7 linked regions of the Nothobranchius furzeri genome follow. The protein of the gene in region 1 purifies or fractionates together with the protein of each later gene. This does not show direct contact. Links are inferred from orthologs where the notes say so. Each region holds a gene or a part of one and is shown on either strand. Other genes may lie near its edges.

Evidence for each region.
Region 2: the proteins of mms19 (region 1) and ciao2b purify together in Homo sapiens (affinity purification with western blotting; 11 studies listed by BioGRID and IntAct, counting the BioPlex papers as one, with this or other methods). This does not show direct contact. The link is inferred for Nothobranchius furzeri from reciprocal best matches to the Homo sapiens genes MMS19 and CIAO2B.
Region 3: the proteins of mms19 (region 1) and brip1 purify together in Homo sapiens (affinity purification with western blotting; 3 studies listed by BioGRID and IntAct, with this or other methods). This does not show direct contact. The link is inferred for Nothobranchius furzeri from reciprocal best matches to the Homo sapiens genes MMS19 and BRIP1.
Region 4: the proteins of mms19 (region 1) and rtel1 purify together in Homo sapiens (affinity purification with western blotting; 4 studies listed by BioGRID and IntAct, with this or other methods). This does not show direct contact. The link is inferred for Nothobranchius furzeri from reciprocal best matches to the Homo sapiens genes MMS19 and RTEL1.
Region 5: the proteins of mms19 (region 1) and pold1 purify together in Homo sapiens (affinity purification with western blotting; 3 studies listed by BioGRID and IntAct, with this or other methods). This does not show direct contact. The link is inferred for Nothobranchius furzeri from reciprocal best matches to the Homo sapiens genes MMS19 and POLD1.
Region 6: the proteins of mms19 (region 1) and narfl purify together in Homo sapiens (affinity purification with mass spectrometry; 3 studies listed by BioGRID and IntAct, with this or other methods). This does not show direct contact. The link is inferred for Nothobranchius furzeri from reciprocal best matches to the Homo sapiens genes MMS19 and CIAO3.
Region 7: the proteins of mms19 (region 1) and ppat purify together in Homo sapiens (affinity purification with mass spectrometry; 3 studies listed by BioGRID and IntAct, with this or other methods). This does not show direct contact. The link is inferred for Nothobranchius furzeri from reciprocal best matches to the Homo sapiens genes MMS19 and PPAT.

What each region holds. Positions count from the first base shown.
Region 1 is NC_091756.1:28,170,986-28,174,485, reverse strand, and holds part of mms19 (MMS19 nucleotide excision repair protein homolog), read left to right. Parts: intron 1-963; coding exon 964-1,092; intron 1,093-1,168; coding exon 1,169-1,230; intron 1,231-3,221; coding exon 3,222-3,308; intron 3,309-3,386; coding exon 3,387-3,461; intron 3,462-3,500. UniProt on the Homo sapiens protein: Key component of the cytosolic iron-sulfur protein assembly (CIA) complex, a multiprotein complex that mediates the incorporation of iron-sulfur cluster into apoproteins specifically involved in DNA metabolism and genomic integrity.
Region 2 is NC_091752.1:28,659,461-28,663,552, forward strand, and holds the start of ciao2b (cytosolic iron-sulfur assembly component 2B), read right to left. Parts: upstream 2,801-4,092; 5' UTR 2,625-2,800; coding exon 2,498-2,624; intron 2,228-2,497; coding exon 2,148-2,227; intron 57-2,147; coding exon 1-56.
Region 3 is NC_091753.1:22,952,023-22,955,522, forward strand, and holds part of brip1 (Fanconi anemia group J protein), read left to right. Parts: intron 1-1,592; coding exon 1,593-1,859; intron 1,860-3,420; coding exon 3,421-3,500. UniProt on the Homo sapiens protein: DNA-dependent ATPase and 5'-3' DNA helicase required for the maintenance of chromosomal stability. Acts late in the Fanconi anemia pathway, after FANCD2 ubiquitination.
Region 4 is NC_091755.1:45,470,236-45,473,735, reverse strand, and holds part of rtel1 (regulator of telomere elongation helicase 1), read right to left. Parts: intron 2,667-3,500; coding exon 2,585-2,666; intron 2,389-2,584; coding exon 2,256-2,388; intron 1,651-2,255; coding exon 1,537-1,650; intron 1,287-1,536; coding exon 1,246-1,286; intron 354-1,245; coding exon 268-353; intron 196-267; coding exon 118-195; intron 1-117. UniProt on the Homo sapiens protein: A probable ATP-dependent DNA helicase implicated in telomere-length regulation, DNA repair and the maintenance of genomic stability. Acts as an anti-recombinase to counteract toxic recombination and limit crossover during meiosis.
Region 5 is NC_091752.1:51,276,356-51,279,855, reverse strand, and holds part of pold1 (DNA polymerase delta catalytic subunit), read right to left. Parts: intron 2,963-3,500; coding exon 2,848-2,962; intron 2,707-2,847; coding exon 2,577-2,706; intron 2,475-2,576; coding exon 2,308-2,474; intron 2,228-2,307; coding exon 2,123-2,227; intron 2,009-2,122; coding exon 1,868-2,008; intron 1,785-1,867; coding exon 1,674-1,784; intron 1,510-1,673; coding exon 1,318-1,509; intron 648-1,317; coding exon 559-647; intron 481-558; coding exon 364-480; intron 276-363; coding exon 162-275; intron 1-161. UniProt on the Homo sapiens protein: As the catalytic component of the trimeric (Pol-delta3 complex) and tetrameric DNA polymerase delta complexes (Pol-delta4 complex), plays a crucial role in high fidelity genome replication, including in lagging strand synthesis, and repair.
Region 6 is NC_091752.1:55,723,568-55,727,542, reverse strand, and holds the start of narfl (cytosolic Fe-S cluster assembly factor narfl), read left to right. Parts: upstream 1-1,175; 5' UTR 1,176-1,223; coding exon 1,224-1,289; intron 1,290-3,267; coding exon 3,268-3,363; intron 3,364-3,441; coding exon 3,442-3,585; intron 3,586-3,675; coding exon 3,676-3,805; intron 3,806-3,885; coding exon 3,886-3,975. Other genes in the region: transcription factor E4F1, read right to left, coding at 1-3, 89-216, 465-648.
Region 7 is NC_091748.1:40,604,852-40,608,918, reverse strand, and holds the start of ppat (amidophosphoribosyltransferase), read left to right. Parts: upstream 1-1,267; 5' UTR 1,268-1,625; coding exon 1,626-1,753; intron 1,754-3,700; coding exon of another isoform or gene 3,701-3,852; intron 3,853-4,067. Other genes in the region: paics (bifunctional phosphoribosylaminoimidazole carboxylase/phosphoribosylaminoimidazole succinocarboxamide synthetase), read right to left, coding at 84-262, 715-912, 987-1,023, 3,701-3,852. UniProt on the Homo sapiens protein: Catalyzes the formation of phosphoribosylamine from phosphoribosylpyrophosphate (PRPP) and glutamine.

The sequences.
Region 1 (3,500 bases):
GAATCAGAATCGGAAATCTTTAGGAACCAGAATTGAAACAAGGAATTAGAATCGGAATTGTTCAAATTCAAACGTTGCCCAACCGTAATCATGAATGGATGTAGAGACAGGCCTACGAATGTAAATAAGGTTTATGTCAGTGGTGTCCAAAGTGGGACACACAGGCTATTTGTAGCCCTCATGGGGATTTTGAACAGTCCTGGGTGGTTCTGATAAATAATCCACACTTGTGTAGCTCCTTTCAGAGTCAGAGGACTCCAGAGCTCTTTACTCTACAGTGTATCACAGAGAATTCAGCTGATGGAGAAAATAGCTTCAGACGACAAGATTTAGACTCTTATTTCCTGATATTTGTCATCTCACATCTGATTGGATAACAGCAACACATCTCTACCACTGACTCTGCTCTACAATGGTAATGTTTCATCTCCACAAATAGCACAAGCCTGGAGGAGTTCTGCTGTCTGGTGGAGTTCCTAATGCTAATAGTTAGCTTCTACTAGCCAAAACGTTCTCAGCTGTTTCCTGGGAGCTAAACCCACAAGTTATATGTGATGTTTTTTGTTGTATTATTTGTGTTTTATAAAACAAAAATATTTCTGTAACAAAATTTTGTAACATAAATTGACTGAAGTCTCTGGAGCTCATGCAGCAATATTTTATAAACATTTAAGCTTCTGTGAATTTCTGCAGGAATATGAATAGATTTCTGCATTTGGTTATAGTTAAACTTTAAATAACAATATTTTACAGCACTAATGTAATGATTGATGGCGGCGTTAACACGAGAAACACGCTTTAGTCTTGGCTGCAATTAGACTAGCTGTTAGCCCATCAGTCTTGTCAGATTTGAACTGTTTCTCTGAACAGAGGCTGTTCAGTAAGCTGTCCACAATGGGACATTATATGTCCTTTTTAAAAAGCTTAATCAAAGTGGCTTTTTTCTGCTTGACGTTCCATCAGAGCTGAAAGGTTTGGGAGCCGACTTTGTTTTTGGATTTGTCCAGTCAATGGACGGAGAGAGGGATCCCCGCAACCTCCTGTTAGCCTTCCAGATAGCCAACAACATCATTCTGGGAGGATACAGTCTAGGTGAGGATCTTCTCACCGCACCATCCTCTGTTCCTCTTTTATTGTCACTGTTTCACCTTTTTACTTTCCCAATCAGGTAAATTCACAGAGGAGCTGTTCGAAGTGACGTCCTGCTACTTCCCCATAGACTTCACCCCTGTAAGTTCCTGTTCACTCAGCTGGTTGAGCTCATCACAGTTTGTTGCTGTCAGGCAAGACACTTAACCCCCCTTGCCTGCTGGTGGTGGTCGGAGGGACCGGTGGCGCCAGTGTATGGCAGCCTCGTCTGTCAATGCGCCCCAGGGTAGCTGTGGCTACATCGTAGCTCATCCCCACCAGGGTGTGAATGTGTGTGTGAATGGATGAATGACTGATTGCGTTGTAAAGCACCTTCAATCAATCTATTTATAGAGCGCCCTCCACTGCCTCTGCGGAAGCCCAAGGCACTGACCATGACATAGATTAAAATAAAAACAGATTGATAAAAAGTCCTAAAAACCACATACAAACATAAAAGCATGATGGAACACACACACACATATATATGTTAATATATGTATATATACTCTATGCCACATAGAGGATTTCACCTCGATAACGATAAATGGACGATAACTACAGGTATGCGCAGAAACAAAAGTTGTCCACTAGATGGAGCTGTGGCGTGTTTTAGTTGAGTCACATTTTTACATGACTCAAGGTGGTGCAGCGTCTTAAAGGTACATTAACGCTGCCAACCTACATACATCTTTTAATTTCTTATTATCAAATTTATTGACATGGGAACAATTATCTCGATAAGAGTCAGAAATTTAGATAACGATACATTTTTTATTTATTGCCCAGCCCTATTATATATACATCAGAGAAGGATAAGAAAAATAAAAACAAGTCACATAAAAGCCAAACGATAAACATGAGCCTTCACGTGACTCCTGGCCTGTATTTGACTCTTGAAGACAACAGGTGAGGGTGACTGTTTGATGCCAAGTGGCAACTCATTCCAGAGGGATGGAGCCAAGACCGAGAAAGCCCGATCTCATCTAGATCTGTACCGGGATTGAGGAACAGTCAGTAGCTCCAGCTCAGCCGAGCGTAGAGATCGTGAAGGGGTGTGACGTGTTAATAATGCTGCAAAGTATGGTGGAGCACCACCATATAGAGACCAGAAGACAAAGCAAAGGACGTTCAATAGACCACAGGAAGCCAGTGTAACAATGCCAGCACAGGAGTAATGTGCTGAATTTCCTCGTCCCTGTCGGCAAACGTAGGGGGTTCCAGGACTCTAGAAGGTGCTATATCAAATACAGGCCATTTACCATCACTGATGTTGGCAGAACAGACCGACTCTGGAGCAAAAAACTAAACCGTTTAGCGTAGGGATGGACAATATATCGGCATCAATGTCGGTATCGGCCGATTTTAGTCATTTTTTAACATATCTGTATCGGTTTGATAAATAAAACCGGGCCGATATTAACGACCAATATTTTTTCCATCTTGTCTTCATTTGTTTGCCTGTTTCAGAGGGTGAGGGGGTGATGTGTCTATGTTTAGTCATGTGAACAGTGAATGAAATCATCTCAGAACCATAAATGTGTGTGGTGTGTGTACATAATAATGTAAATTTGGCTTTAATAATTTTCGTTTTATACAAAATTACTGATTTTAGAAGCATTAATGTCAGTATTTCTGCATCTGCAAATATCGGTTATTGGCCATAGCAGTGATCTTAATATTGGATATCGGTATCGGCCCAAAAATGTTCATATCTGTGCATCACTAGTTTAGAGTCAAAGAGCCTCACACACACGCGATTGCTCTCAGGATTCTTTACTGTTGGAGGACACAGGACTGATGGGAGCACTCATCTTTTTTTCTTCAGGGGCTCCAAACAATCAGAAAATTATCCGTCATTTAAAGAGACTTGCATTCCAGTCTCTGAAGCTTTAGCAGAGCACGAGCCAAAACAAATCCTACACACTAGTTTCAGATATTCAGTAGATTCGTAATAAGTGAATCATTTTGGTTCATCTGATTGTATTTGACATTTTATCACCACTTGTTTAAGCTTTTCTTGGGTTTAATTTCCTGTAAATTATCTTGTTTTTTTCCTCTCTCTTCTTGTGACCACCTCTCACCCTCTCCAGCCCCCCAACGACCCCCATGGCATCACCAAAGAGGAGCTAATTCTGGCTCTGAGGACCGTCCTCACAGGGACTCCCAGCTTTGCAGAGGTGGGGCGGTATCGTGACATGACGATTATTCATTATGGTACAATTTCAGGATCTAAAAATGTTCTTGTCCATTTCCAGTTTCTGTTGCCACTCATCATTGAGAAGATGGACTCGGACATTCAGAGTGCAAAGCTGGATTCACTGCAGACTCTTGTGAGACTGACTACAGCCGCAGCTTAGAGAAGAATAAGC
Region 2 (4,092 bases), on another chromosome or scaffold:
CAGTGTGGTATGGTGGGTGTAAACTCAACACCTACCGTGCTTTCTGCATCATTGACCTATTTAAAAAATGACAAAAGCACAAAAAGTAGTCATTAGATTTTTCTGAGCAGCAAACCTGGGCTTAACTATTGAAATCTTGTCAATAAGTAGACTGATTTTACGCCTGTGCTCTAATACGTTTGTTGACCTGCAAATATGTGTTGTTTTATAAAAAGCTCAGCCAAAAATAAATACAACTGCAATCTGAACCTTCTTCGCCCCCTGGTGAGGTCTTCATTGACTCTTCTGCAGCTCACCTACCAGCCAGGTATTAGGAGCGATGCCACCGTCCACTGAGCTGTGGCCCAGCCGGAGCAGCCTGGAAGCACTGTGAGGACCAGGCTTACTGATTTCTTCAGTGCTTTTAACACCATTCAGCAGTGAACTCGGACATAAGCTGGAGCTTCGACACATTTGTATTATCTTCTTTAAAATGTTTATTTAGCTTGATATGTTTGCTAGTATACAAGGCCTGAAAACACTATTAAATCATTTTGACAATTACATTTGGCAAATTCAAATGTCAATATTTTACCTCCAGGAGATGATTCGTGCCTTTATCAGCATGACAATTGACTACTGTAATGTTCTTCATGTTAGTTTCCTACAGCCGTCCATGAAAATGCTTCATTTGGTCAAAAAATCAGCCACTCACCTTTTAAAAGACACCTCAAGATGTGCGCCCATAGCTCTGGTTTTATTTTCCCTCCACTCGCTTCTGTTTGTTTTGGGAAAGATTTTAAACTTTTGTTTGTTTTAAAGCTCTTAATTGTTTGGCCCCACCTTACGTCTCAGATTAACCGAGTGTCCGTGTCAGATCGCTGAGGTCTTCATCTCCATTTCTCCTCAAACTTCCAAGAACTACATTTAATCACTGGGGTGACTGAGCTCTCGGTTGTGTCGCCCTGGAACCAGCTACCTTTAGATTTACGTGTGGTCACTGACCTGAGCCATTTTCTATCCAAACTTAAAACTTTATTAATCAAAAAGGCTTTTAGCACTTTGTAGCATTGTGTTATTCTAGTTTATTCCTCACTTTCTACTAAGGGGGTGCAGCAATTGCAGTTTTTGGCTGACCACCGATCTTGAGAAAAATCTGTCAGTTCCTTAAGACTTTCATTTTTCTAATTTTGAAAACAAAACTTTTGACACACTTGTCCAAATAATTTTTTTATATCAATGATTTGCTTTAACATTAACAAGGGGGGAACCAATTGCAGTTTACGGTCGATCCTCGATCTTGAAAAAAAACCCGAGATCAGGGCCAATAGATCGATGCACCTCCACTTTTTACTGATTCTGTCTCTTTGTTCATTGTTTTTCATTTGAACAACACTTTGATGATCTGGACATATAACCTTTAATGTACTATATAAATCCAATAAATGAAACTGATATTTTACACGGAATTTGGGACAAATGTCAGTAGCGTAAAAGGACCAAAGTGTCAAACTTCGACTTGATCCCTAACCTATTTAAAAAAATATGGAGAACTTGTGAGTGGAAGACGTCTGATATTGGTTTTTCCATTGCCGATACCGATGTGTAGGAGATATGACCAGCCGATAATGGCCGATATTTGTTTTGGGCTAATTTTATATACACATTTTCCACTTAATGATAAAATGTCACTAATAACATCAACTGATGCACACAATTCTTAAGCTGAATCAGTTTTTGAACACTGAATTTAACTAACTATTAAATCTTAATTTTGTGCTCTGGTCAGTGTTAAAGTCAGACATCTAAATAAAGTTAATCAAACAAATTTATGAATTGACCAAATATTAAATATTCAAAGCTGGTAAATTATAGTTGAGAAATAGTGAGAATTTATTATGCAGATGTTATTCAGGAAGTAAAAAAGTATTTTAAATTAAATTATGCAACAGCACCAAGCTGCCCTAAGATGTGCCTGCCTTAATCAGTTTAACTAATACGTTTTATAGGCTGACGCCGATATATTTATAGGTAAATATCGCCCAGCTATATCAGTTTATCCCTACTGGTGAGCACATTAGTTTTGCTCACATTTATCCCACCATATTAAATTTCCTTTTTTGTTTGGTTTTACAATTAATAAATTAGACTCAAATGAGAGGACATACCTTGACTCGAACTTGTTCCACCACATTGAGTTCCTCAAGAGACAAAGGATGTTCTGGATCATTGATGGATCGGATCAGATGTAACTTCAGTTAAAGAATTATTTAAAATATATAATAAACAGCTTTTCTCTTTGATGTGTAATCGATGCAGTTGTAGATAATAATATAAGCCACTCTAAACATAATGTATGTCTCCCGTACTTCAGTGGTCAGGCTTTTATTTTAATTCGCTAGATTTCTCTACGTTTTCCTAAGGAAATGTACCATTTAATCATCTGAGTAAAATAAACGTTTCTTTGCGCCTCTCAGTAGTTAAATTAGCCTAAACCAGAGAAAGGGATCGAGGATATCGAATATTTCTCTGTCGTCGATGAGGTCGTGAACGTCTTCATCCTCTTCGGACGCAGTCAGCGGCCTGTCCCTGCAGCGCTGGAAGATCACGGGGTTTGCGTTTTCCATCTGGACCCCTCGGGACATTTTAAAGTATGATTTAGCCCAAAATAAACTTAAAAAAACACTCCCAATCTGAAAAACTTCTCTAGAGCTCCAGTGGTTTACTTCCGGGATAAACGGGAAATGACGTGTGACGTCATGAACTTCTTAAAGAAACAGCGCTCATCCAGTGAGAAAAACACCCTGAAACAAACCAATAAAATAAAGGCTGGAATTCTGCTAAAAGTCGTAGATTTAAACGTTTGCTTCGAAAAACACCCGACCAAGTTAAAATATGTATTTTCTATAGTAATAAGAATTTTAAATAAATGCAACAAATGTAACTGTCACTTTTTAATTGATAATTTTGGTGGATTAATGTCCTACCAGTAAGAAAAGTTAAATAATGAAAGACACATTCTTTGAAAAATTTTCAAATAATCAAACGCACCCTGATTGTTGATATCAATTAAGCCTCATCATGATAAATATGAACGTTATTCTGATTAAATATGCCGGTGAAGGTTCTCAGTGATCCAGGTCATGGGTTTAAATGAAGGCAACTGGACTTCTTTGGATTCTTGAAGACGTTTCGCTTCTCATCCGAGGAGCTTTTTCAATTCTAACTGAAATATGGGAGAGTCAACTGTATGAATGCTGTACTAAAGCAAACCAAACAAGTCCGGACATATTATTTTAAATTGTTGAATATTTTGCAGGAATAAACTTAAAGGAAAGGATTACAGAGTCAGGAGCTTTCTTTTCTTGTCTTTATTGAACACACGCCAAAAGAAACAACTTATCTGAAGTGCAACAACCTCTATGGTTTCTATTTTGTTAAATAAAGTTTTTAAACAGCCTCTTTTCCTTGAGGATCACTTTTAACATAGAACTTGCACCCCATCTTGTGGCATAAAAACGTATCACACATTGCTACATGATACAAATAATTCATCTCAGAACCTTAACGTGTTTGGACCATCGACATAAATAGGTTTGGACCGACAAGACAAGACAAGACAGCTTTATTTATATAACACATTTCCCACACAGAGGCAACTCAAGGTGCTTTACAGCAGTAAGAACAGACAAAACACACAAGCACAAAAATGAACTATGGAATTAGATATACTAAAACTAGAAGACTAACATAATAAAAAATTGAGAAAAGAACTAAATGTGGTCAGCTGAAGGTGTCAGGAGACTAAAACTAAGGCAGTAAAACTGCTACAGTGTACTATAGACAAACATTGTTGAAAACCAACAGAATTTCAATGCTTTAAGTAGAAAAGAGGGCTAACCAGGAATTACAATCACCTACAAAAAATACATTAACAAAGGGTTGCAGCGGATTACTAAAACTTAGAGTATTGAGGCAGACCCAAACTAAAGCAGTGAAACTGGTACAATGAACTACAGGAAACATTGATGAGTTAAAGTAGAAAATTAACAGAAATTCTACACTATGAGTATTTCTGTTACCAAAATGTTTAAAGTATGTTTAGTGGCTTCT
Region 3 (3,500 bases), on another chromosome or scaffold:
GCCTTTCAAAGACTAGTCGCTGTCACGTGATAATGACAGACAAGATGCAGTCCTCGGAAAAGACAGCAGGTGACCAGCCCCTGCGTGTTGGGAGGCGACGCGCTGTGCCACCGCGTCGTATCTGACTCCCGCGGAAAAACAGACATTTGACCAAATTGTGACCTTTACCCTCTTGCAATTTAACCTTCCCCTCACCCCCATCCTAACCTTAACCAGCTTGTGCATGCAAAGCTCTGATCGTTGACACGCTTCAGACATCTGCATCCTGAGCACGGCCACAGTAACATTATCAAATTAGGTGTCGCCACCTCAAAAACTAATTTAACACGCGATCGTTCATGTTGGCTCATTTCCTTTTATGTTTGAAGCAGGGGAACAGTAAAGATGCAGAAACTACCATTGTGTTTAACGTTGCAAATGTGGGGGCAATTTTAATTGTCAAAAACTCCAGCGAACCAACCCACTTCAGGTGTATGACGTCATCAACGACTAGTCAAAGTCGACTCGATTTTAATTACTTGACTTAAAAAAGTTAAGTCATGCAGCCCGTACTCCACATTCAGTGTTACTGCAAAATTAAGTTTGTTTCCAAATGAAAAGGTTCAACCGTTCATATCTGTAGTAAAGGCAAATGTGCACATTTGCAGTCACTTTTGAAAAAATATTGAGTTTGGCCCGCAACTTCGTCCCAGTTTTTCATTTTGGCCCAGAGCAAATTTGAGTTCGACACCCCTGCCTTAAGCTGGGTTTATGCTTGACACATTCACTTTCCGCTTGGTGATGCGGCTCGCGGCTGGAACGCGCTTCACAACTCTCAGCATTTATGGTTCATGCGGCTTGTCTCTGTGGTGAGCCAATATTCTCCCAAGCTGTAGGGGGCAGCATGGAGCTCTATGGCATGCATCCAACACTACACCATAGTAGAAGTAAAAATTACTGTTTACAACATGGCATTCCAGCAATTTTAACAGCGTCCTCGTCTTTTCCAACAGTGCGAGCTATTTCTCTCCAAGAATTATTAACATGTTGATCATGGCGATCTCTGAGAGCTGAATCATACAAATGTCTGTATTTACAAACCTCTGCCATACTAGTTCTTGCCAGTCCGCGATGTTTTTCCGCGTCCGACCGTCCGCGTGGTTAGAAAATTTCCTAGGTGCGCGGTGCGGAAATTTTGGGCCGTGCGGAGGTGCGGTGGAGGGGTGTGGTTGTTAAAATGACGCAATTTAGCCGCGCGGACCTCACGGACGCGTCAAGCATAAACCAATCTTTAGTATACCTCCCTGGTTGGAAGGTAGGCCCTTTGACATAATCTGGGACTTTCAGGGAGGACGTAGAGCACTCACTGCTGACGTAGCTCAGACCTTAGTGGAAACACAACAAACCAGGAGGAAAAGTAATGTTGTGCTTTTTGGCCACGTATTTGAAATGTGTCTTTATTGGGAAGTAAGCTCAGATAAATGTCTAAAATGATCCTACAGGTGTGTATAGCTGAACCCCACCCAGTAAGCCAGACCCACACCACCACTCTAGCGCTGTACGTGATGAGATGTTGAGAACATCCAGTGAACCTGTTCTGTGTGTGTGTCCAGATGTCTGAGCCCTGCTCCCACTGCCCTTGTGCCTCAGCCAAAGATGGTGTGAAGGACAAAGATGGCAAAAAGAAGATTCCAAAGATTTTCTTTGGCACACGCACCCATAAACAGATTACTCAGATTGCACATGAGCTGAAGCGCACAGCGTACTCCAGCGTACAGATGACCATCTTGTCCAGCAGAAAGCACACCTGTGTTCATTCAGATGTGGTACCTCACTTCAACCGCAACGAGCTGTGCAAGGAGCTGCTGGAGGACAAAGAGGTGAGGAACGGACACACACACACACACACACACACACACACACACACACACACAAAACATCATGTGAAAAACAACAAAGATTCATCAGGAAGTGTGGGACATGCAGTTACTGACACACCTAACACTGAGGAGAGTCACATAATGAACACATAGCCTCAGAGAAGCAATTATACACAATTGGTTGACAGAACTTTTTTGACACTCTAGAATATCAAGGACCATTTTTGGAGATGTGATACACTTGTAACCTCCTATAATGTCCTGAAGTTCGGGCGCCTACTGTAATATAGACAATTATGTTGTCATTAGAGGTGTTAGCCTCCCATAGCAATCATCTCACTTTTGTCATGAAAAGCTGCCCTCGAAATAACCCCCCCCCCCCCCCCCCCCCCACACACACACACATAAGCAGGTGTCACTGACACCCTGAGTGTGTGTGTGTGTGTGTGTGTGTGTGTGTGACCTAAGGGTCTGGTTCAGTCATTGTCAGGTTATGCTGCAGTACTGACTCTGATGCACAGAGAAACTGCTCCTAACACAACAGCTTCCTGGACACTTTGGTCAGAGTTGTTCTGAGGGTAGCTGGAGGCCTTAACACCCCCCCACCCTCCCACACACACACCCCTACCCTCAAAACAGCTGTGTGACTCTGCCACCAGGGCTTGGTGTCTATGAAAGGTCCATGCTTAGCACAGCTCGAAGAGAAGAGGACCATATTATCCACAGATGATTGCTTTGTCTGTAGCCGGGTCCACCTATGTGAAGTGTTTTTGTGACAGTGTCACCTTAAGCTGTTAAAGTCACAAAGAACAGGGTGGGACATCTAAGAGGACACGTCTACTTGTAGTAGTCAGGACTAGCTGCAGGATAGGCTACATGCACCGTATCAATGTCTGAACGTGTAAGCTGTACACGGAAAAATACATAAAATACTTTAAAATAAAAACTCAGTTATTTTTGTTTTAATGTTAATAGTTAATAATTAATATGCTGTATTGTTGTATGGTCATAAAGCCAGCCTGATAAAACTGGGCTTCCAGATGTTTCCAATGCTCAAGTGTGATGAGCAGATGATCAGCTGTAGAAGATGAGTCGTAGCTCTGCTTTTGACTTTGCCACATTGACCAGGGTCATAGTAATAAAATGTTTAAACTTACAGATATGTGTAAAAAGTGTTTTTGATGGTTCCATGCAGTAGAAGGTCATTGTGAGTTCTGTTTATAGTTTCTGAGTGGGAGAAGTTCACTCTGAGTCCAGAATGTCTGCAACTAAAATATTTGTAGCATTATTAGATGACAAGAGGCCCAAACACTGGGAATATTTAATATTTGGGTCAACTTCTTGTAATTGTCAGTAAAAAACCTTTGAAACCTCGAGTGGTTCTACTCCAGTAACCATAGAAACATCTGGCGGAAAATTAAACAAACTTTGAAACCAGAGTTTCTTAACCTTTGACCACCTTTGTAGACCCACACATTTTATTAAGATATAAACCAGTTTTGGCAAATTGGTTTAACATCACCACTTCTCTGAATGAAGCTGTTAAATGTGTGCCTTACAGGGGCGCTCGTGTCGCTACTACCATGGAGTCAAAAAGATGGGAACTCAGCATTTACTGCAGTCAGTCCATGGACTGTGTGG
Region 4 (3,500 bases), on another chromosome or scaffold:
CTTCTCAAATTTAGCTTTTGATCCGCTCTAATTTCCCTCTGGGATTAATAAAGTATCTATGATCTGATTTCCTTCTGACAACATTTACACCCGGATCGCTCATCCCGGCAACATCACCTCACTAAAGGTTCCCTTTCCCTTTGGTTCTACAAACATGGGCTTCAGGATCTCGATGTGACTCGCTTGTCCCTTCGTCTGGAGAAACACACAAAAAGACAAATTTAAAATTCAAAAACCAAAGTTTCCTAATCGGAAGTTTCTACTCACTCTCCACAGCTCCAGGGTCTTCTCCATCAACAGGAACGACGGGAAAAAGACCAGGAGGCCGCGAGGAACCAAACGACAGAGGTTAGCTGAAACAAACTCACGTCAGGAACCCGAGACCAAAACGAGGAGAACCATCATCTAACATCTACCAGCTCAGAAAAGAAGCTCCTCCGCCTTTCTCAGAAACGGCTTTAATGTGGAATAAACACAACAGCTGATGTCAAAAACAGGCCAAATAAACCCGGATGTGAGCAAACAGCTCCACAGCAGAGAACCAGAAACACAACAACAACAACAACAGTCGTAATTAGTAAACATCTGAACAGAAAAAAAAGGCAAAATGAAAATAAATAATAATAATAAATCAAATAAAAAAACGATTCTGGGTCCAGTTCTCAGTTTAGTCGTCCGAGAGCTCGTTTTAATTATAAAAGCCGAGCGGACACGTTTAACCGTCGGCGACGCAAAAGCCTCTTCCTGTAGAATAAATAGAACATTTTCTTTTATTTGTGAATATTAGTGGATTCATACGGGCAAAAACTTCCTTCTGAACTGCAGGCGTCAGTAATGAGGAAACAACCCATCAGGAACGGCAGTAGAAGAAGAGTTGTACCAAAGCCAGCATGACTCAGCATTCCCAAACGTAACTGTCCATTTTACAGCTCGTGCTGAAGTTTACCGCTCTGGTAGGAACAAAACCCATACGGTGCTACTAAGTCATAACCCGGTGATCCGTCGGCCCTCGTTGGATCGGCCAAGCGGCCGCTAGCTTACGGGGCAACAGCGGTTTCACACGACTACGAGTCGGAGATTTGGTGACTTCAACAAGACTCAAATTCATCTGAAACCCAAACCGCTGAGAACTACAGGGAAGAGACGAATAAACCTGCATCAGGTTCATGAAACTAGAACGTCCCAGAAAGACCCGAACCCTACCAGCTGACTGATTTATAACACGGTAATAACAGCACAACTCACCAACAGTGTTGCCTAAAGACGCCATGACTTCAGGAATAAACCTGAAACGGAGAAATATTAAAGCAGCACAGCAAAAACACCTACTAGCAAAGCTTCATGTGAGAAAAACAGTTATTACTCCATATCTGTACAAATGATGTGTTCTGTTCTTTTGTTTACTTGTTTAAAGAAGACAAAGGTTGTTTTTAGGTCCGAAGCTTTACTCGTTAAAACAACAAAATGTTGAATTCAACACCTTCTTCTGCTGACCAGCGATAAAAGACGCTGATCTTACAGCTGGTCCTCGTTTACCTCCGATTAAACGCCGAGCTCAGCACCACCGAATCTGGACCCTGATCCAGGACTCGGACATAGATCTGGTCCCGGCTGATCACATGACCGTTTTCAAGAAGCACCGGGAAATCTCTAAAGTAAAACAAGGAAAAAGAAACGTGGTTTCATTCAACGCTCCTAAACAAACTAGAACGTAAAACTGAAACACTGAAGAGAAACGAGTCTAGTAAGACCGATTTAAACCTCGCGTGATTGTTTAGTAATAAATCTGAATCAGGGGGCATAACAAGTGCTCTAAAATCTCTCTTCCTTCCAGTTTTGAATATTTAACACGGATAACTTTAGTCAGAAATCTGATTTTAACAGTGAGCGGTGCACAAAACTAAGAATTACCACTTGGTTAAATTCAGCGTTTAAAAGCTGCTTCAGCTGCAGAAATGTTGTGCATCAACTGAAGTTTTAGGGACATTTTAGCATGAAAGTAGGTGCAAACGCCTAAATATCAGCCATGAAAATCAGCAATAAATAAATAAATAATCAGCAACACACGTCGGCCATCAGCTGACAGCGACCTCGAAGTATCGGCATCGGTACTGGCAATAGGAAAAACGATATCGGCCGACCACGAACCTGAATAATTAAATAAATGTCGCAGCAGGATTCCCCCCTCTGGAAACACACTTTATCTGCTTTATCTGATCAGACATCGGACTCGTTTGTTTTGGTGGTGAACTCACATCCTCATCTCAGAGGTGAAGGTGGTCAGAGGTGAGAGGGTCCCGCTGGTGAGAATGATGCAGCGAACGCCCTGGTTCACCAGCTCCTGCATGCTGAAGCCCGGTGAGAAGCACCAGTAACTCAGGATGTTTCCTACGGCGCACACGACACAAAAACACGCGTTCAAAGCTGCTTCACAGACGCAAACGCTGACTAACAAGATAGAATAAAGAGAAACTGTTCTCTCTCTTGGAAAGCTCAGCCACAAAATGTTATTCCAGGTCACTAGGAGTTCCACATGGAGTCTGGTTACTGAAGTTAAAGTTCTGAATGTTGTGAACTGACTGACCTTGTTTCTTGGACGAAGCTGAAGCCCACGGATCAGCCGCTTGTTTCTTCTTGGCAGCGCTGGTGTCCCGATGGATGTGAACCTAAGTCAGATGGACCATAACGGCTAACGTTAGCGTAGCATAGTGGCCATCGACATACATGAGGACAAAAATCAGGTTTTAGGTGTTTTATTCACTAATGGGTCAAACCTGTAGGAGACTAAAGCAGCACGTTGCTACGATCATGACCCAAACATGCACCGAGGAATATTATAATTAAATATAAATACGGAGTCGTTCATTTCCAGCTTTGGTGTGTGAAACTAGAACTAAGGAGGAATGTTCTGCACACCACTCACCCAGAAAACCTGGATTAGTAGAATAAAAATAGGTGTGTGTGTATAAAAAACAGGTGTGTGTGTGTGTGTGTATAAAAATCAGGTGTGTGTGTGTGTGTGTGTATAAAAACCAGGTGTGTGTGTGTGTGTGTATATATAAAAACCAGGTGTGTGTGTGTGTGTGTGTGTGTATAAAAACCAGGTGTGTGTGTGTGTGTGTGTGTATAAAAACCAGGTGTGTGTGTGTGTGTATAAAAACCAGGTGTGTGTGTGTGTATAAAAACCAGGTGTGTTTGTGTGTGTGAATGAAAACAGGTGTGTGTGTGAATAAAAACAGGTGTGTGTGAATGAAACAAGTGTGTGTGTGTGTGAATGAAACAGGTGTGTGTGTGTGTGTGTGTGTGTGTGTGTGTATGTGCGTGCATCCGTGTGTGTGCGCATCCATGTATGTGTGTGTGTGTGTGTGTGTGTGTGAGAATGAAAACAGGTGTGTGTGTGTGAATGAAACAGGTGTGTGTGTGTATAAAAACCAGGTGTGTGTGTGAATGAAACAGGTGTGTGTGTGTGTGAATGAAACAGGTGTGTGTGTGTATAAAAA
Region 5 (3,500 bases), on another chromosome or scaffold:
ACCGAAAATTAATCGAACCAAGCCCTTCAAAACACTGAAACGAACCGAATACGAGTTTAGCGTACCGTTGCACCCCTAGTTTTTATTGGAAGAAATGGGATCCTATGGAAATTCTGCTTTCAATTAAATAATCAATTGGTGATTGTTCTTTTAGCTCTAACCTTTTTCTTGCAGCAAGCAGATTCTCCAGGATCTCCGGGAGAAGTCCTTTCCTCACAGAACTCTTTACAAACTGGTCACCTGTTGGAGTCTTGATGAAATCTTCAGATGATAATCTGCAGATGTACAGTAAAGCATTTTAAAAATTAACAGCTACAGCTAATGAGAACAATAACAAAAAAAAAAAAAAAACAACATGTTCACCCCAGTTTTTCTGCAGATCCTTTCTGCAGCAGCGTGGTGTAACAAAGGTTGTGAGCCATCATGATGGATGGATACAGAGACGAAAAGTCCAGGGTGGCAATAGGAAGGCTGTAATATCTACAAACCAGTTTTAATCAGACACACAGGAGGAGGAGTGTGGCTCCATACCAGCATAACCAGTAAATATGCCCCCACCCTTTCTCTGGTTCGATGACCGTAGCTCCAGTGTAGTCCTCCCCAATTTCTGTCTTTACTACCGGCATCACCAGGTCCTGTTTCATCGCCTAGAACAGAAAACACACACATTATTTTCTACACACACCCCAACATGAGCTGGAGCTGCACAGTTTGAGCCTTTCTGGCACTGATTTTGTAAAGAAACTGATATTATTCCAACGTACTGTTCTTTAAAGTCTAGTTGGAAGCAGCAGTAAATGCTTAGGCACTTTCTGAATATCATTTAGGGTTAGTGATGAATCCTTGCCTCATTCTGAGCTGCAAACCGAACAGCATCTCTCTCTCAGCCATTCAAGACAGCCCACTGACTATGCATGAGGTATTATGTGTGCATTTAAAAGCCAACCCCATGTTTATATGAATCCCTGCTGGATAAATATGTCTGATTCTCACAGAGCTGCACGGTCATGTGTGATCTGGTGGCATTTGTGAAAAAGCAAAAGTTTAACTGAGAATGAGAAGAGATCAGACGAACTACTGCCTCCACAGAAAGAGGACAGGCGAGTCGGGTAAAGTGTTATTCACCACTCGCTCCAATCTGGGTCTAAACCAGCTTCCACTTACTTTGCTCTTGTTACAGCTTATCAGATGTTATGGTAGGTAGCATCTACACAGAGACTCCAGGTGAGCCAGGCTCATGTCACAAGGTGAAAACACACAAGTGCACCTCTGTAACGTAAACAAAACCGTTTTGAGTTTGAGATTGTTTTTCCTCACCTGTCTCAACAGCTGAGACACGACTTTGATCTGCTGTCCTCTTGAGAGCAGGTAGGTGAGCGGTACTCCAGTCACTCTGGCCATCTCCATGTAGTTAATCACACACATGAGCTTCTGCAACAGCCGCAGCGGCAGATAGGCGTCTTTCAGACAGTAGACCGCCAGTCTACGCCGCGTTTGTTCATTTCCATTCTGGTGAGGAGGGAAACAGACGATAAGAGATTAAAAACTGAAAAAATATATATATGCATCTCTTGTTCTATCTCAACTCATCAAAGCAAGGCAATTATCTGACCTAACAATTTATAAAAGCAGTCAAACCTGAAGGGGCCATAACCCGACCCATGGACTCCTACCTGCAGATCGGTGATGATGGAGTGCTGCACGTCCTCCTTTTGCTCTTGCAGGAAATGAAAGCTTACAGCATTCAGAGTGTAGGAGCGTAGTTTGTAATCCCTAAGGAGGACCTGAGAGAATCACACAAACAGACATATCCTGAAAACATCACTCACAGAGCCTAGTGTAGAGTAACCAGAAGCTACATGCCGACCTGCAGCAGATCAAACTGGACTCGACCTTCCATGTTGATGGTTTTGTTCTCCCTGCGACCCATCTGCTTACTCTGGAAACTCGACTCTCGTAAAACGGACCGTTTGCCCCGCATTCGACCCAAGTACGGAAAATAAGTCACCTGGAAAGTCGTGAACATTTTACCAAAGGTGGAGGAGAAAACATAACATCTTTTTCAAAGCAAAGAGGGAGATTTCTTATATTTCAACACAGATTAAACGTGTCTCTGCCAAACCTTTAAAGCAGCTGCCCTGTTGAGCAAATAGGGAAAGTCAAAGTTCTGGATGTTGTATCCAGTTATGATGTCTGGGTCCACCGTCCTCAGAAACTCCGCCCAGCTCTGCTCACACAGAGACAAGATAACAGGACGGATAAGGGACACCGTAATAAAGGGACAAACCTCCCGGCGTGAGCCGTTACCTGAAGAAGCTGCTTCTCCTGAGTGAAGCAGAAGATCTGCGAGCCAACGATGCTAGCACAGGGCTGAAGGGTGAAGACGGTTCGGATGAAAGGCTCCGTCTCCCCCTGACGTTGGACCATAGATGCGATCTGAATCACAGGATCTTTGTCTGGTTCTGGGAAGATTCCTGGAAAGAAACAAATGCATCTTAAAAGAGTTTGTCAAAGCCTTGGAGACGTGTTTAAATCATTTACTGATATTTGGTACAATACAGAAGCCTTCGTATTACCTTTTCTTCCTGCACACTCGATGTCGAAGCTGAGGACTCTGAGAGGGGCTATCCTCTGCCAGTCTCCTTCTGCAGGGTGACTGATCAGATCCGTCCATCCAACATCCACCTCATACTGGCACAGCGAAACCTGCAGGGCAAAAGCAAAAATCTCAACCACCGCTCTAACATTCTTGATGTAAAAACAGAAAACAAGGAAAAAAATCTGTAAATCGGTAGTATGGTTGTCACGCAGATTACAGCACACACTATGAAGGAAAACAGGACCGACCTTTCCTGGATGCTGAGAATCTGTGTCCCCGTGGCTCTTCTCTTCGCGTACTCTGTACTTGCCTTTGGGAAGTTCGATCCAACAGCATCCCACAACATCGCTGTCCACCATGAACCTGGGAACACAGGGATGCTTTTAGGCTTTACAGCTCTGATTCACTTGTTTGTTTGTTTTCAATACATCTGCTGTGGTCTCTACTATAAATGAATGCCTTGTGTGTCGTTCTCTGTGAGAGGACAAAAGCTCTGGCGTTGGCGCTCCTGTTGCAGGAAGCAGAAGTTAGACGGAGAATGGTGGCGGAAAACAGCAGGATTTGGAATTTTACTCATTATCGTTTCCTGATATTCTGATCTCACCTCTGATTGGCTAACAACAACAACGTGTCTTCCACCACCTTTTTTTTTTTTTTTGTAAGTCTGAATGAGTTCTGCCATGTTGCAGAGATGCTAACACTAATGGTTAGCCTCTTCTAGCTGGGATGCTCTCTGCCCTCTCCTAGAGGCTAAACCAAGAACAGCCTTCCCTGTCATGAGCCAAGATGGGCGAGTCCATGAACGCTAATTTTCTGTGCGACATAGATCTGACTAGCTTTTCTAATCCGAGTCTTTCCCCATCTACTTTCTATCAGAAGCTAATGCAGGAAAAAGGGGTAG
Region 6 (3,975 bases), on another chromosome or scaffold:
GACCTGCATATATGAGGACACCAATGCTACTTCTCTTGATGCCGTTTAGACTGATTTATCCACACAGCCCCACCCAGATAGCTCCTACCTTTTGGCCGCCATCCTGACTAGCATTCTGAGCCTCCACACGTTTGCAGCCGTGCTGCAGTTTGTGCTGGATGAAAGCCTCAAGGGTGGAGAACTCGGACTGGCAGCGACCACATTTGTGCACATCATCTAGTAGCACAGAAACGGACCCAACCAGCATGAACCAATATCATAATTAGTGCCACAAACTGATTACTGTTTAATGTATTCGTGTCTGATTCACCCCAAACAGTGTGTACTTCCACCTAAAAATACGAAACTATGCTGCTCGTGTCAGTTAGCTGTTAGCTAGACATCACCTCGGTGAAAGTTAGCGTAGCCCAAACGCGTTAAATGATAAACAAATTCGGCTTGTTTGATACAGCCAGGTGACAAACCTTCATCTCCTAGTGTGGTCTGAATAGTAATGGTCTCGTTGCCGTTCTTCTCTGTTTCTGCCGTATGATTATTTTCCACATTCATGTCGTTTGAATTCTCCGTCTCTGTCGCAACGCTGCAGCGGGGAGGGAAAACATGGCGGATTACGACCCCGTAGTCATAACAACAAAAGGGCGCGTGCATGATTCTCTCACAGCTAATAAAGTGAAATTAAACATTTCTGATTTCGTTTTAGTCACCTTAATTTTTTCTTCAGTAAAATAGACAGGATTCACTCTGCTGCGTTGCTTTCATAGGCTATGATTTTGGCCAAATGTTTCTCTACAAATAAATTATTGTTTTTCATTCAGCTACAGGCACTTTTTATATTTAGAATGAGCAACAGAGAAAAGTAATGCTATTTGTTGTAGGAATAAAATGAAATATTACTTATGGACGTCTTCATGTCCAGTCCTACAACTAACAAGTGTTATTTGGGCAAATGTTAAAAACAAACAAACAAACAAAAAATAAACATTTTTACATCTCTGATATTTACATTTAATTTGTTCCATTGTTACAGAGAAAGTTAAATATACATTTTTTTGGTACTTATTATTAAAAATTTGATAGTTTGTCATTTGACCAAAATGAATGATAATTTAACATATGATAAGAGGTATTTAGTTTGATCACGCCTGTCTTGTAACCATAGACTGTACAGCTTGTAACCCAGTATTCACGACACAAGAGTAAACAACAACTTTACGGTAGTAAACATGGCTTCCCACTTCAGCGGAGTCTTGCAGCTAACAGATCTCGATGATTTTATCACTCCTTCTCAGGTCGGTCACTGAAATAATGTGAAATTAAGTCGTGTATTGGATTAATTACAAGTGGGTGAAACAGTAATTATGAACAATTCACCGGTCGTGACATTTAGGGAACAATTGACGGATTAATTATGGCGATGTAGCAGCTAGCACACGATTAGGCTTTTCGTAGAGAGAAACTTCTCATAAAATATAGGAACATTGAGTATTGGCTGAAGCTCATCACGAGTCGATGATTACTTTTTGATTTGTAACAAGTTGTAAAGTTTTACTTTTTTAAAACTATGGCGTAATTACGTCACTAGTCCATGCCGTAACCTGTGTAAAGACAAATTAAATCACTGAAATAAAACACTTTCAAAGACTAAATTAAATCAATCGTATTGGCTGACATATTCAGACATTTTTAAACACACTAAATGTCAGTTATAGGCAAATAAAGACAAACTATATTTTAGCTAGTTCTTTAGAAGAAGAAGAAAATATTTCTATAGTGCCTCTCAAGATAAAAATCAGGAGGCGCTTCACAAAAACAAAACATGTAAAAATATAAAAACGAATTTAGAAAATGGTTAAAAATATATTTAAAATGTGCAAGAAATAGACACTAGTGATTAAAAAACAAAATGTTAAGAAAGAGAGAGAGAGAGTGAGTAGGAAAGAGGGAAATCAGTGGATCCTGAGGAAGGTGGAATAGGTGGGGAGAGCAGAATAAAGAGAGAGTGGTGAAGAAGGTCATACCAAAGCCAGCTTGAACAAGTGTGTTTTCAGCTGCTTTTTAAATGAGACCACTGAGTCCACTGATCTCAGACTCAGGGGGAGAGAGTTCCAGAGTCTGGGGGCCACAGGATGTGCTGAAGAGGGAGCAGATAGAGGAGGAAGAGCAGAGGCCCCAGCACAGAACCTTGTGGGACACCATGGGTAAGAGAGGTGGTGGAGGACCTAAACTTGGAGACGGCCACAGAAAAGGAGCGCTCAGAAAGATAAGAGGAGAACCACTCCAGAGCAGATCCTGATAGGCCGACCCAGTCTCTCAGCCTCTCCAGTAGCAGGTGATGGTCAACAGTGTCAAAGGCTGCAGTCAGGTCCAGCAGGACCAGGACAGAACAGTCCCCTGCATCACTGTGAGTCAGAAGGTCATTAGAGACCCTAAGAAGAGCTGTTTCAGTAGAATGAGCTCTACGAAAACCTGACTGAAAGCTATCATAGATGTTATGTTCATCAAGAGCAGCTGTGAATTGTTTAGCCACAACCTTTTCCAAGATCTTGGAGATGAACGGAAGTTTAGAGATGGGTCTGAAGCTGCTATGGAGAGAGGGGTCAAGACTCGGTTTTTTAAGAAGCGGATGGATTACAGCATTCTTAAAGTAAGCAGGGACCTGACCAGAAACCAGAGAAGCATTATTTATAGAGCGCACGCTGGGACCGATGGACTGAAAAGCAATTTTAAACAAAGATGAGGGTAAGATGACGAGGGGGCATGCAGAGGTCTTCATAGAGTTAACTAGTTTGGTTAACTCAGGCAAAGAAACAGGAGCAAAGCTATCTAGGATGATGGGCCTGGTTGGAGTCGGGAGAGGCAGCGGTAAGGCTGAAGGAGAGATGCTAGATCTAACCTTATTGACTTTGTCCACAAAGAAAGACAGAAAGTTCTCACAGTCTGCAACAGAGTGGATGGAGGCTGTAGGAGAGGCAGGAGAGACAATGCTGCTGATGGTGTTAAACAGCACCTTGGGGTTCCCTTTGTTTTTATTAAACAATTGAAAAATTGAGGACACTCTCAGTATGAAGTAATGAAATTTTTCTTAGACCCAAATGAATCAGTAATGTTTTGTTTTTTCTTATGAAAACAGATAATTTTGTGTAAATTTTACAGTTTTTCAGATTATTCTCCCCATGCAATAGTGCTTAGTCATATTTCTCAGATGCTTTTGGATGTGATGATTGATCTCATTTACAATAGCGGTTTACACATTGGTGTGTTTTCCAGGAATGTGTTAAACCAGTCAAAGTAGAGAAGAAACAGGGTAAATCTGTGGCCAAAATCCAAATAGAAGATGACGGCAGCTATGTGCAGGTCAACCAGGTGGGTATCCTTGCTCAGTCTTTAATCAGTTTGAGAATTATTAAACCAAGTTTGAATGAACACACCCTGTGTTTACAGGATGGTGGGAAGCAGAAGCTGGAGAAGGCCAAGATCACACTGAACGACTGTCTGGCCTGCAGTGGCTGTATCACCTCGGCTGAGAGTGTCCTCATCACTCAGCAGAGCCACGAGGAGCTTTTAAAAGTGCTGCGCAACAACAAGGTAGACGTGTGTCTCTGAGCTTGTTCATTTTTGTTTTGCAAGTTTTGCATTCCGTCTAACCTTAATACAATAAGTGTTGTGATTATTTAGATTAACGAAGCAGAAAAGAAGATTGTAGTTGTGTCGGTGTCGCCTCAGTCCAGAGCCTCCCTGGCAGCTCACTACAACCTCAGCAGCAGTGAGGCAGGCAGGAGGCTCACAGCTTACCTCAAAAACCTGGGTGTGGACCTTTTCTGTTTTTATATCATGCAACACCTAAGCAGATAATCTGAAGATTATTCCTGGGGGTGCTTTTGGCAGGGGTTCATTGCGTGTTTGACACCAGCTTCAGTCGGACCTTCAGTCTGTTGGAGAGTCAGAGGGAGTTTGTGGAGCGTTTCCATCGGAAGG
Region 7 (4,067 bases), on another chromosome or scaffold:
CAGCTTAGAGTCAGATGGGTTTTCTTGTCATATGTGAGAGAAATAACAACATTAGGAAATTGCTGCGGTACAGTTGGGCTTACTTTAAAGAACATCTCCATTTTTAGCGGGGAGAAGCGGTAGCCCTCTTTGACTCCTGGATTCCTCTTTAGGAAGGACCCAGTCGCCACCCTGCGGCACACCCACTCGATGGGGATCATCTCACAGTGGGCTGCGATGAAGGCCGTCTCAGAGTGCTGCTTCACAAAGGCAGTCTTAATGCCTGGGGAAAAATGTGCGTCGTATTAAGATAATCTCCAACTCTGAGAGGGGATTAAATAATTCCACTTGGAGAAACCACAAGACACGTTTAATTTAGAATTGATATTTTAATTAAATGCAGTAAAAGTTTAAAGATTTGAGCACGAGACTGACCTCAAGCCTAAATTAAATTCTGGTCAAGGAAGCCATGATTGGGGTTGTTATGGTGAATTAATGGCGGGAACACTGCAAGTCACAAGACTGTCATTACAACGGTTTGGTTAACGCACCAAACTCACGTGTGGTGCATGGCTGCTGATTATCCAGTTAGTCAAAGATCAAATGGCTTAAATTTGGAATAGTGTCCACCATGAAGGACACCAGCTCCAGTGCTGACTTCAGTGTTAGTTGTTAAGGAGAACCTTTGCTATCAAAAACAGGATAAACAGTTAGAAAACTTCACCGAGCGCTCACCAGATTCCTGGAGAAGTTTGAACACGCAGCACGTCGTTTTGTTGGCAATGGAGGCCTTTCCCTCCATTTGGTCCTTCCTCGCAGCGTTCCCAGCTGTGATTTGGTCTTTGGACTGGACCAGGACCAATCCAGGCTGGTCCACCAGCTCAAAAATCTGCTTGGTCTTTCCCTCATTAAGCTTCTTGCCCACGTTTAAATCTGAAAGCACACGCAACATTCAGACAATTTGATTTAATGCAACATCAAACGTGTGCAGGATATTCGCACGGTACCTGAGGAGGCCATGGTGCTGGTCGGGGTTGAAATGCCCTGAAAGACAAACCACAAACGCCCCACAAGTTGTTGTTAGGCGCAGCAGCAACAACAGCGGCGCGCGGACATGCAGCGGGAGGAGGAGAGAAGCGGGGCGTCTTACGTCCCTGCCGCAGCCAATCACATCGATCCAACGGATTAACCCAACCAATCACAGTGGTGGATTGCTATCACGTGGAGGATGCTCAAACTTTAACGAGGAGAAAAACTTCGACATGCCACCATGTTTTCTGGGATAAGGGAATTGATTTGTTACAAACCTCGCAGTCAGGACGTCCTTTGACCCACCAGAAACATTTAGTAACACCATTTTAGTTTGTGCAGCGCAACTCAGGTCCGTCTTGATTAATTACTGATAACATCCGGTGGTTTGTTGCTTCAGTTTGAAACAAACCTATCGACTACCCCTGCTCTGGCTCGTGATAGCAAGTTTAAACGGTGTCACCTGACGTTGTTGGCCACGTTGTGAGCACGTGTTTGAATACAATACGTGCACGCGCATGCTGATTTCTCACGGGCGAGCAGGCACGAGACCGCTCGTTTTGCGTTAACGGGGTAACCGGAGGACGAACGGGCAGAAATACAATAGTGGCGGTATCATGGAGTTCGAAGAGTCCGGTATCGGAGAGGAGTGTGGGGTTTTCGGCTGCGTTGCTGCCGGAGAGTGGCCCACGCAGCTGGAGGTGGCCCAGGTCCTGACTCTGGGACTGGTGGCGTTACAGCACAGGTAAGTAACGTAAAGGTGTTCAGAATAACTTAGTTACATTTGGCTAATGGCCTAATCTTCTGATTAGAGGCACGTTTAGGTGGGTGGAATCATGGAAAAAGATAAACTACAAGTAGTTATGGTACTTGTTAAAAAGTGCTCTGTTCTGGTGAAAATAATACATTTACAGAGGGTAATAATCTCAGGGAATTCCCTTGTAAAATAATCGAAGATTTTCTTCAAGTATAATAAAATCATAATTCAGTGATCTGTCTGTCTGTCTTATTTTAAAATAATGTTGTCCAACATCCCCAAACAGCTAATTTGTGTGAATCAGTGTTATGGTATCTGAAAGTCTGTAGGGAGAAGCTTCTCACAAGGTGGATTTCTGCTCCTTAAAAAAGTTTTAATCTAAAATGTTACAGTTGTTCATCCAAATACCTATTCACATTATTTTTAAACCTCAACACCTTCATCAATTTCTCATTACACTAGTATTCTGGTATAAACGTGAAATCTGATTGAAAGAGTCACTAATCTCCCCTTAAATCCAGCTGTAAATAACTAGAATTTTGTGTAAGAAAAGCATTACATAGCTGTGTCGATTGCAGCGGTGGCTGGTGAATTTTATTTTAGGTGAGGTGCATTTTTCAGATGCTTTAACCACACATCACCACTAGAGGTGCCAAATTACCATTCTTATGCGTCACACAACTCGAACCCGACGGACCCGGTACCAGGTCCACAAGCACTTCCAGCTACAAAGTTGTTCCAAAAACACAATCAACCAATATATGCAAACTGCACGTGCTTAACGGGAAGAGCCTCGTCTAAACGATATAATCTACACGGTCTACCTCAACAACACCCAGTGACGATAAGCCGCTAAATGAAAAGCAAAACTAAGCTAATTTCATGACGTCAAAAGCGTAAAATTTTTGAGACTAGAGGTTGTTTTTCTATTGACAGAAATCCACTTATGTACCTAACCCCATTAGGCTTGGGCGATATCCAAATTCTAATACCATCTAGCTCCCTCCACATTTTACCAAGGTGTATGGACCTCCACCATTCAGAAAATGAGTAACAAACACCATAACTAAAACAATAACAACACATATAATATTAACTACTTTTTAAGAACGCAGCTTATAAAAAGATTTTAAGCCTGGAAAACCAGCATGTTTACTTTTTCTGGCTTCAACCTCCGACTGCTGAAAACCGGCTTTGATGAGCTTGTGGCACCGGCATACGGGTACATTGGTGCTAGTCGTGACCAAAGTCGTGACATCTGGGGAAGGCTGGCATCATATCGTTCACCAGAAAAGTGCGTTGTTGTCTCTTAATAACAGGCTCGTGACATGAAGGTGCTATTTCTGCTGTTGCGACGGAGCATGCATCTTTTGCTGTTATCTTTTGTTTGCACAAATGACCTCATCCATGTTTACTGGCTTTCCTTCAAGTTTGCTTCTAACCAGAAATACTTCAAAAACTGCAGTTGTGTTGTTTTTACACACCGCAGTCAGTCAGCTGGTACGCGAGCGGCCATTTTTCCCTCGGCGCGCCATCCTCTGCGCTGTCACGTGATGACATCACGTTCATAAACTTTATTGAAAGTCTCAAAGTTTTTAAAACTCCAAAACGTTTAAAATGATTTAAGTAAAACTTAAAATTCCGTTTTATACAGTAAATGACTTACAGTATTTATCTTTTTTATTAGTTTTTTCCTTTTTAATCCTTGTCTCCTACGTGCACTGTTTTTCTCATGACGGTATCGGAACTGACACGGTTGCTAGTTTTAACACCGGCTGTTTACGGTAATACTGTAATAGCGCCTAAACCTAGGCCCCATACCTGGTTAGAATGTGTGTCTGTTTCTCTTAGCTGAGGCTGTTCACAGAGCTATCTAAAGCAGGTTAGATGACCAGTTGTTGGTAATACATCTGAATGATCTGTTTAAGGTCTTACCTGTCTTAGTGGGGCTGGGTGAGGAGGAGCCATTGAACAGACAGATTTGATCTTTATTATTGGGACGTGCTCCTGCTCCTCCTTGCACTGGGATCCCGCTTTGTCGGCAGGATCAGCTGTTCGTCTTTTTGCTGGTGTCTGAAGTTTGGAGTCTGAAAATAAAAATGTAAGCAGTAAAGGGAATTTAATGATTTTGTTCATTCAATAAAAATGAGTTTGATACACAACCTTGAGCCTGTTTTGTGGGTTTTTATACAACAGTACCCCCATCCATAATTTTATTATTTTGATCTGGTGGCAAATCATGTGACTGAGGCAGAAATAACAGAGACTTCAGTCATGTGTGGGCATCGTGTGACCTGCACAT